Rattus norvegicus: one gene and its partners. The protein of the gene in region 2 purifies or fractionates together with the protein of the main gene of each other region. This does not show direct contact. Links are inferred from orthologs where the notes say so. Each region holds a gene or a part of one and is shown on either strand. Other genes may lie near its edges. The genes, in order: Hus1b, Rad1 and Fen1.

What was found.
Region 1: the proteins of Rad1 (region 2) and Hus1b purify together in Homo sapiens (co-immunoprecipitation; 3 studies listed by BioGRID and IntAct, counting the BioPlex papers as one, with this or other methods). This does not show direct contact. The link is inferred for Rattus norvegicus from reciprocal best matches to the Homo sapiens genes RAD1 and HUS1B.
Region 3: the proteins of Rad1 (region 2) and Fen1 purify together in Homo sapiens (affinity purification with western blotting; 3 studies listed by BioGRID). This does not show direct contact. The link is inferred for Rattus norvegicus from reciprocal best matches to the Homo sapiens genes RAD1 and FEN1.

Annotation. Positions count from the first base shown.
Region 1 is NC_086035.1:33,741,081-33,744,387, forward strand, and holds Hus1b (checkpoint protein HUS1B), read left to right. Parts: upstream 1-1,609; 5' UTR 1,610-1,690; coding exon 1,691-2,521; 3' UTR 2,522-2,777; downstream 2,778-3,307.
Region 2 is NC_086020.1:61,187,383-61,191,690, reverse strand, and holds the start of Rad1 (cell cycle checkpoint protein RAD1), read right to left. Parts: upstream 2,883-4,308; 5' UTR 2,638-2,882; intron 2,419-2,637; 5' UTR 2,354-2,418; coding exon 2,156-2,353; intron 712-2,155; coding exon 603-711; intron 1-602. UniProt on the Homo sapiens protein: Component of the 9-1-1 cell-cycle checkpoint response complex that plays a major role in DNA repair. The 9-1-1 complex is recruited to DNA lesion upon damage by the RAD17-replication factor C (RFC) clamp loader complex.
Region 3 is NC_086019.1:216,269,508-216,271,700, forward strand, and holds the end of Fen1 (flap endonuclease 1), read right to left. Parts: coding exon 1,284-2,193; 3' UTR 509-1,283; downstream 1-508. UniProt on the Homo sapiens protein: Structure-specific nuclease with 5'-flap endonuclease and 5'-3' exonuclease activities involved in DNA replication and repair.

The DNA of each region.
Region 1 (3,307 bases), on a different chromosome or scaffold from region 2:
ATATAAAGTTCTTAGCTACTGCCTTACCACCATGTGAACTAATTCTGAACCTGTTAGCAAGCACCCAATTAAATGCTTTTTTAAAAAGACTTGCCTTGGTCATAATGTATCTTCACGGCAATGGAACAGTAAATAAGACAAAAGAGGAACTGAAAGTTTACAGAAGCAACTGATTGTTCTGACTTCCTAGCTGAGATGCTGCTGCCTTCAAGCTAAGATTGGGATGAAATTGAGGACTTGCTTTGGGCCAGGAGTAAGATGAAGAAACCAGTCAGATCCTGGTCTCTAAGACACCTTAGTCAGAGACTTGGGCCATCATCTTGGAGGCCCTGCCTAGTTGAAGAAGGAGCCGAGCAGACATCCTGCTGTAATAGAATAAATATAGAAGTTCCAGCTGCATCCTCTGTATTTCACATGGGTCAGGACTCCAGGAGCACCAGAGAAAAGACAAATACATTTCACATACACAGATGTAGTATTTTCTTAAGGGCAAAGAACATCATAAATAATATGAAAACCAAAGACTTATCTGGACCATATTTACAGGGACAGAGGGTTAATGTTCTTGCCAGAGTTTTTATTCTTTTGTTATTAATTTATTTATTTGAGATAAAAAATCTCACTGTATAGCTCTGACTGGCCCAGAATGTAACTCTAACTTTCCTTAAACTTGTGATCCTTCCTTCTTGCCTTTGGCCCCAGTGTTGAAATTATTGGTACGTGTCACCAGCCTGGTCCTATCAGAGATCTTAAAAAGCAAGCAACAAACTACATACAAGGAATGTAAAGTTGACATACATACATTGCAAGTTGAAGCCATGTTATTCTACTTATCATATCACTACATACAAAATAGATTGTTATATGACGCTACTGACAGAAGGTATGTTGATAGAATTTTCTCTGGGACAGTTTGGTAACAGAAGAGTTTTATATGTACATGCTATGACCAAGAGTTCCCCTTTAAATTTAACACAAGTAAATACTGACAAAAGTAAATGTATTTTGTATAACAGATGTTTATTATTCCAGTAATAGGTCAAAATTGAATCATGTGAATTCCTCTTGTGAAATAATTATTTTTATCAATATACTGGGAAACTAGCCATGAAAATGATAGACTTGTTAGTGTTTAATGGTATGGAATGATATCCATTATGTATGTATTTTAGGTGCAAATAAAATGTGTCTAGTGTATCACATTGTTTATAAGGCATGTAGTAACTAACATCTGCAAGTAATATCTGTACTGAACAAAACTATAATATATATTAGGTATATATATGTAACAAATGTTTTAAAAGGGTTGGTTATTTCAGTGGTACTTTAAATTGTGGTCACACTATATAGAGTGACCTTCTTATGAGCAGATCAGAAGCAGTGACGTATTCAAATAGGGCAGGTATGTGGGAAGGTAAAGATGGGTCCAGAGACCGCCCTAAGCATCACCCTATAGTGTTTGACCTAGGTGTCCTCAGGTGGAAGTGGACCTGCAGGGATGTGGAACCCAAGTATAGGCAGTGCTGGGGCAGGGGGGAGGCGCAGTAGAACGCACCCCAGGCATGGTAGGTGAGGCGGTTGCGCCCCAGGCCGGAAGGTTAAGCATGTTACACTCCGGGCCGGAAGAGTGAGCCAGCTGACTACTCTGGCAGCGGTTTCCTCACAGCGCTCCCTCTACCACCTAGGCCCCATGAAGTTTCGGGCCAGGATCACCAGCAAGCGTTTTATAGAGCTCTTCATACAGGTCAACAGCACCATAGCAAAGCTGACGAAGGTCTGTGTGCTCCGCGTGTGCCCTGACAGGCTGTGCTTCTGTCCAATGGGGCTGCTGAGTGAGGCCAAGCTGTGGGGTGAGGTGAGGCGGAATGTCTTCCACCACTTCTGCATGGAGGGTGTTTCGCAGGAGTTCAATGAAATCTATCTAGAGCTAACGTCTGAGCATCTGGCCAGAGCCGTGAGGAATGCAAGCAACGCTTCATCCCTGAAGCTGCAGCTCACCAACAAGCTGCGCCCCTGCCTTACTGTGGTGGTAGAGCTGGCATCGTGCCCCGGCCACACCCGCGCTATGGTCCACGATCTGCCTGTGAGGGTACTTCCCAGAAGGTGGTGGAAAGAATGCACAGAGCCCCATGTTCGGGGCTCTGACGTGAGTGTTTATCTGCCTGCTATGAAGACCTTGAAGAACATGGTGGAAAGGATGGCAAATGTGGGCAGTCACGTGCTGGTGGAAGCAAATCTAAAAGGCAAAATGAACTTGAGTGTAGAAACTGATGGAGTGACTATTAAAAGCTATTTTAGAAATCTTGGAAGTCCTCCAAATGCCGTTCTGGGTATGTCTCAAGGCAAAGACCCAGACAACATGGTACAAGTACGGGTGGATAATAGGAAACTTCTACGGTTTTTTGACGGACAGCAGATAAACCCCACAATGGCCTTATGTAATATTTTGAGCAATACCCTACTTCATCTTGTTTTGGTTCACGAAGATATTTCTCTTCAGTATTTTATTCCTGCCTCATGAATTTCAAGCAGCCTTAATTTTCTTTTTAAAAGAAATCTTAATTTAAGTTCTTTCCAGAACTGAGACTTTGAGTTACTTTCGTTAAAAGCTTGCAACCCTGTGGATTTTGTAGGGTGTTGATTTTGTTGAGTGCTTCCTTTGTAAATTGTTAAGAAATAATTGCAAGTTCATGTGATTGCTTTTTGGCTTTGACCATTACCTTACATTCAACTTAGTTGTTTGGGAATAAAGGATTGTAATAAAACAATTAACTGAATCCTGAAACAATTATATTATTTTTTATGAAAAATATTGTGAAGAATGAGAAATTTCTCCTTTTAAAATAATCATAAATTATTTTGAGAGACTTAATGATCTCAGTCTCTAAAGGTATAAGATGAATTTTTGTATGTATATCATATATTCAGAGATAACTGTTTTCTGAAGGTTCTCAGTGGAAGTCTTAACATTACTGGGGAATAGCCACTTTAGAGAGTTTAAACTCTCAAACAATTTACTTTCTCACTTCTGAGTTGGAAGCATAGGATTGTTTGGTTTGGTGACTATTTAAGTGTGAGGACTATATGTAAAAGCTGTTTTGGGAAAGCTTCAGCATCTTCAGGCTATGTGTATGTGTGTGTGTCTGTGGTGTAACACAGGCATGCTTTGTGATTCTGTTAGTAAGCTTAAACACAATGACAAATGCAACTTACAGAAAGAAGGGTTTTCTGGCTTACGGTATTTTGAGCAATAAGAATACATCATGGTAGGGAATCTTGGCAGCATATGACAGTTATGGTACAGGAA
Region 2 (4,308 bases):
ATGATTGTCATCAGTGGGAGGAAAATGAGCTGAGAATTAGTTTCCCTTTATTCTTTGAAATTTTAATCCATGTAAACAAATCCACACCCTAATTATTAGGGTCTACTTATTAGGGTTAGGGTTAAGGTTAATGTTCCCTCCCTAGGACCTCCAAAGAAATGATTTTCTCCTCTGCTCCCAGCTGCCAAAAGCTCCACTAGGAGTGGGACCCCAGGTCTTCCCTGAGCAATTAGATTTCTAACAAAGGATTGGCTGGCTTGGGGCTGTAGCTCAGCTATAGTAGAGAGCTTGGCTAACATGTACTAAGTGCTAGTTTCAATCCCCAATACCACATAAAACTACAGGTGGCTGCCTATCTTTATCATCTCCTCAGTCGAGGCAAAGGCTGGAAGGTAAGTTCAAGGTCATCCTCAGTTATACAGACTGCTCAAGGCCAGGCTGGGATACATAAGACTGCCTCCAAAAATAAATAAAACATAGAAAAGCTCATATCCCAGAAGTCTTACTGTATTTTCTATGCTTTTAACCATAATAAATGTTTATGCCACAACAACAGTAGTAGTAGTAGTAATAATAGTAGTAGTAGTAGAAATATAGTTCACCTGGTGTAGGACTTGATCCAAAAATAGATAAACAGTCTAAAAGGATAGTTAAGTTAATTCGAAAAGTAACGGATTCTTCCTGAATGATAAATTCTTGAAATACATCAGCCTAGGAAAGAACAAACATGCAAACATGAAAGTGAGGTCATAGTAAGGAATGAAAAATTCACACATGAGAGTTTACATTTCACTTTATGCTTAGAAAGTAACCATACTGTGCCAACTCCATGAGACTATTTCTCATTCCCAACTAAGGCATGCTAACTTTGCAATGTTTATCACTTGAATACTACTTGATGGTTTAATCATTAAAGGTGTAACACTAAGGCCCCATTTAGAAGCTCCTGAAGGGGGTAGGGGTAGGATATGATGAAAATATATTGTATGAATTTTTTTTTTGGTTAAAAGGGAGTAGGAGAGATGGCTCATCAGTTAAGTACACTTGCTACACTTCCAGAAAACACGTTTGATTTCCAGCACCCACATGGTGACTCAAAACCATCTGTAACCAATTTAACCATAATAAATGTTTATGCCACAACAATAGTAGTAGTAATAGTAGTAGTAGTAATAGTAGTAGTAGTAGTAATAGCAGTAATAGTAATAGTAGTAGTAGTAATATAGTTCACCATGGTGACCCAACACCCTCTTCTGGGTTGGGCAGGAACCAGGCACATGCCTTTTGCAGACATTCATGCAGATAAAACATTCTTACACATAAAATTAAAAAGTAAAAACCAAAACCAAATAAAAAACCACAAAGACAACCCCTCTCAGCAAGGGTCCTTCATTTTCATTTCTGGATCTAAATCCACTAAGTTTATCCTAACTTTGTCTTTTGTGCCTATCAGTTAAAGCTAAAGTCACTTCAGGATAGGACAATTTAATAATGCATGCATGATAATTATTTCCAATTTCTTTTGAAAACAGAAACCATGTTTTATTTATTCCTACATAATTGTGAGTTGATACTATACTCAAGCGTTCAAAAACATGAATTGAACATTGAGCTCCGACCTGACTCATACAAATACTACATAAGAATAGATTATAGCTGTGGGTGATGGTGGGGCTTTGATGCCAGTACTTCAATACAAGGCAGAAGCAGGCTGATCTCCAAGAACTTGAAGTCGATCTAGTCTACAAAAGCAAGTTCCAGGTAACCAGGGCCATATGTTAGACTGCCTCGGGGGGAAAAATGCTATTACAGCCAGTAAGAGGAAAAACTAAAACATGCATTTCAATAATTATATTGTAAAGAGTAAACATTCTCGGTTGTTATCCTAACTAAATAAGACTATTGAAAATTAAGTCTGGTGCCACTTATGTCAAATAGGAAAGATAAAGTGTCTATAAAAGGTAAATGGTGATGAGTGTCTCATTAATAAACTGTCACTAGTAATCGTTCATCTGTGTGAGACAAGATGGGGAAAGTATTTGTTGGCAGGAAAGAAAAAAGTAGGCATTTTGTTCTCTAACTTGAGTTTTATGGAATAAGTCCTTCAAGTTAAACTCGTTAGGGAATGCTTAAAAATGTCTCCACTCCCCCATACCTGAATAAAGGCATTGGCTTGCACACACTTTGCATTTTCCACGGTAACCTTGATTCCATTTTTAGTAGCAAAACACGTGGCGTGTTCTTTGAAGTGAATGGCTTTCAAGACAGTGGAGAGATTCCTAACGTTGTCAAGGCTGGCCACTAAGCAGTACTGTTCGTACTCATCCTCATTGTACTGGGTTAGGAGAGGCATGGGTGGACCACTGTACGTTCAGCTCAGAGAGAAGGATGCTCCTCTTCCGGAAGATCTCCGAAAACCTGAGACACGGAACAACAAACCCCGCGATCAGTGCTAACAGGACTGGCGATCTCAACCCGAGCCGAAATCGGGAACATTCTATCTCCATGTCTCAAAACTACGGTTTCCTTGTCTGATACAGCCGGAAAATGCAATTCACTGGGTAGTTCTAATTGGCGCGGGTTCCTACAGGGTAACAAGAGCACGAGGCCTGCTTAGCCCCTCTGAGCGCCACCAACCTTAGCCCGCCACAGACACCTTAGACCGCGGCGCCGACCGTCACCCAGCTCACCAGCCCGCTCGCCGCACAGCGGCCACTAAGGGGAGCCCCGGGCGCCAGGCCCCTGCCTTTGAGGTGACGTCCGATCCCGTAAAGCCCTTGTCAGCCTAGCCCCAAGAAGAACACCCTGAGAATCCAGAAGCCAGCAAGCCTGGCAAACAGCTCCCGCCACTGTTCAGACCCGCAGCCAACCAGGCCACCGTCACCACCGAGCCGCCGGGTGCCTAGATAGTCTACCACAAGACCGGAAGAAAGCGTCTGAGAGCTGGATGACTAACTCAGGGCTCAGCGTGCACTACCATAGAGATCGGAAGAAGGAGCGAGCGGCGGAACCGGAAGTGTGGACAGCAACTAACGCGGCGAGGCAGGATGGCGGCGACTAAGAGAAAGCGGCGTGGGGACCTGGAGGTTCAAGCAAAGAAGCCAAAAAAGAACCGGAAAGATGCCGGGCAGCCAGCTAAGCAGGCCGATGTGGCAAAAGAGGCGGAGGAAGAAAAAGATCGTATTCCAGGTCCTGTTTGCAAGGTAAGAGGCCCGACTCCTGGAGTTGGAGTCGGCTTCCTGACCCGCCTTTGAGCTACCGAAGTGACTTCAACCAAAACTTGACTGGATTATGAGCTTAAGGTTCCCTTGACTGGACAGGACAGTGTTATGTCTAGTTTTCGTGCAGATGGCCGTATTCCTGGAAACCGCTGTTCGTAGACCCTTAGCCAACTAACAGGGAGGTAATTTAATGAGTATTTAGTTCTAATATTCTGCCTTCCGGTTACTGGTCCCCCGCCTCCCCAGAGTAATGTTTTTTCTTTTTCTTTTTTTCCTCAAAGTCTTTATGGTGTATCAATAAATTCCTTCCATCTTGGTCCATATCACACGGGGTTACCAAAGTTTGTTTGCCAAGCCTTTAAAGTTACTGTCCCTGTGAGTCCAACTTGTTTGGTTAGATCTTTAATTCAAAGGATAATAGTATTTTTTTTTTTTTTTTCGGAGCTGGGGACTGAACCCAGGGCCTTGCGCTTGCTAGGCAAGCTCTCTACCACTGAGCTAAATCCTCAACCCCGGGATAATAATATTATCAATAATAATAAACTTAGACCATTAATTTTACTGTGCTCAACAGTGCGTCACACTTATACCAAGATGAGCTTTCCTGGCCTTGGCATCTAGGAGACGATGAACAAGATTTCTTTCCTCCAGAAATACTGGAGTTTAGCAGGAAAGAAGGCTTCATAGAAAACTGGGTTTATTCTAAAGGCGAGCAGGTTCTTGTTAGAGTTACTTTCCGTCACCTGAAAACTCCTTAAGCAAGGTATATTTATGGAGGAAATCTTGCCTCAGACTTTTCTGACCTTTGTGCTTAGTGTAGTACTCTAGTACTAAGTAAAAAGTAAATGTGAAAGGCCAGTGTATATTGTACCCCAGTTTTAATTAACAGCTAAATCTCATACCCTTGTCTGAAAGGATAAAAGTGACTTTTTCGAAAAATAAGCTGGACTCATAAGGTTTTCAATAAAAGTCAGTGCTCTCTTTTAGGAGTCAGACAGAAACATGTTGGGAACTGTAATCTGAGTCACACTATGATACATTAATTGAAGTTAATGAGGCAATTACTACTTTTAGGGTGGTAAGGAAA
Region 3 (2,193 bases), on a different chromosome or scaffold from region 2:
TGTTTTATTGGTTTGTCAAGACAGGATTTGTGTAGCCCTGGCTGTCCTAGAACCTGCTCTGTAGACCAGGCTGACTTGAACTTGGAGACTGACCTGTCTCAGCCACCTGGACGCACTGAAGGCGTGCCCCACCAGCACCTGGTGGGACAAGGTCTCTGAATGGCAAGTGTTTATCAAGTGACCTATCGAAATGCCTGGATGTTATGAGATAGTTTATCTAAGTAACAAGACTGTTCCAGGGGACTCCTTTATCTCAGACTGGTGAACATGTGAAATTCAGCCAAGCTATTCAAACTCCTGAAGTACGAAAGGCTGGTGCTACCACTGCTGCTGTGGCCACATGACATGGGTACAGCGCCACCTTGTGGTCACTCCTAAACAAACACTCGCTACCAGGGCAATCCCAGGCTATTGGGGATTTAAGAGGGGAAAGAAGACCATTCTATTTATTCTACAGGAAACTAAAACACTCAGGGCATTCTCAAACATTCAGAAAGCCACATTCTGATCGCTTTTATAATTTTATTGTTTTTTTTCTTCACATCTTTTAAAATAGAAACAGCCCATGAACAAGTTTTTTCTTCCAAAACCTCAATTAAATTGACTGCCTCAGAAAGGCCATCACTTGGAGCCTCAGAACATCACTTGGAGCTACAGGTCAGTGGTACACTTAATGCCTTTGCCCTGGGTTCAATTCCCAACACTGGAGAGGGGAGGCACAAAACCAAACACTACAAACCTAAACCTAAACACTGTGTTTTCACTCCCTTGCGCAACTACTGGGCTCACCAGACAGCAAGTCCACAAAACAGCCAGTCAGTATTAAATCTGTTGTCGCCAGACTCCTCTGTTTCTCTTTGCGGCTCTCTCATCAGCTAATCCCAGACTGATGGCTGTCTTCCAGGGCACAGTGAAATTAGAAAGAGCAGTCGCCAGCCGCGCTCTAGTCACCTGTCCCCCACCAGCTGGCCAGCTGGGAAATTACCTCCTACTCTCTCCCTGCCTTATCTTCTCCCTTAAAATACTGCTAGCAGTTGCACAGAGCAACGGACAGGGTCCATTAACCTGAGAAGTGGTTTGAGCCTGACATCTTTCCTGAGCTAAAAATGAGGAAAAGCAGAGCTACGGGCTTCCTGACACAGGGTCAAGCGAGGGAAAGCTCTGAAGGGCAGCGCTGGGAAGCAATGAACTTGTCCTCAAGACGCAGGGCGAGAGGGATGTGCTCTAGCTGAGGGTACAAAACACTGTCCTGGGGCCAAGGGACAGTGGAGGGAAGGACACATTTATTTTCCCCTTCTGAACTTTCCTGCTCCCCCAGTCTTTGCTTTCTTCTTGGCAGGCCCCTTGGGCTCTGGCTCCTTGCGCTTGGCTGAGGAGAGTGAGCCTGTCACCTTGAAGAAATCATCTAGGCGTCCCTGGGTGCTGCCTTGGCGGCTCTTATTCAGCCGTTTGACCCCACTACGAATCCGCTCCTCAGAAAACTGCTTTTCACCGCACATAAATTTGACCAACTCTTCTTCGTTTGGCTCACTCCACTTCAGCTCCACAGACTCTGGGTCCAGTACTTCCGGCTCCAGGAAGAGCTGCCGGGCTTCCTTGTGGAGCCAGTTTTCCGGAACAGGGTACTTGCTGGGATCCAGCCGCCTCACGATCTCCTCGATGCTCTTGTGCTTCTGGATGAGGTCCACAGCCCGCTTGGGTCCAATGCCACGGACACTCTCACAGTAGTCGCTACCCAGCAGGATGCACAGATCCACAAACTGCTCCTGGTTCAGACCCAGCTCTTGCAGGACGCGGCTCAGGTGGAACTCTTGGATGGGCAGCTTCTTGGCCTCACTGGCAGTTAAGTGTCGCATTAGCACGGGGCTGCCAAAAGTGAGGCAGTCCATGTCCTCCGTGGCTGCGGCATAGACTTTGCCAGCCTTTGCCAGGGCAGCACAGCTGGCCTCTGCCTCGCTGGGCGCATCAAGGTATGGGATGCCCATGAGGCTCAGCAGGTGTTTGCACTCATCGTTGTGTTGCTTGGTGACCTTCACAAGCCGCTTGGTGAACTTTTCCACCTCCTCCTCTGCCCCCGCCTCCTGAGCCTGCTGCAGCTGCTTCTCGGCCTCTGCACGCCGCTCACTGCGTTTGGCCAGCTCCCCCGACTTCAGCTGTGGTGGTTTGCCATCAAAGATATACACCGGCTTGATG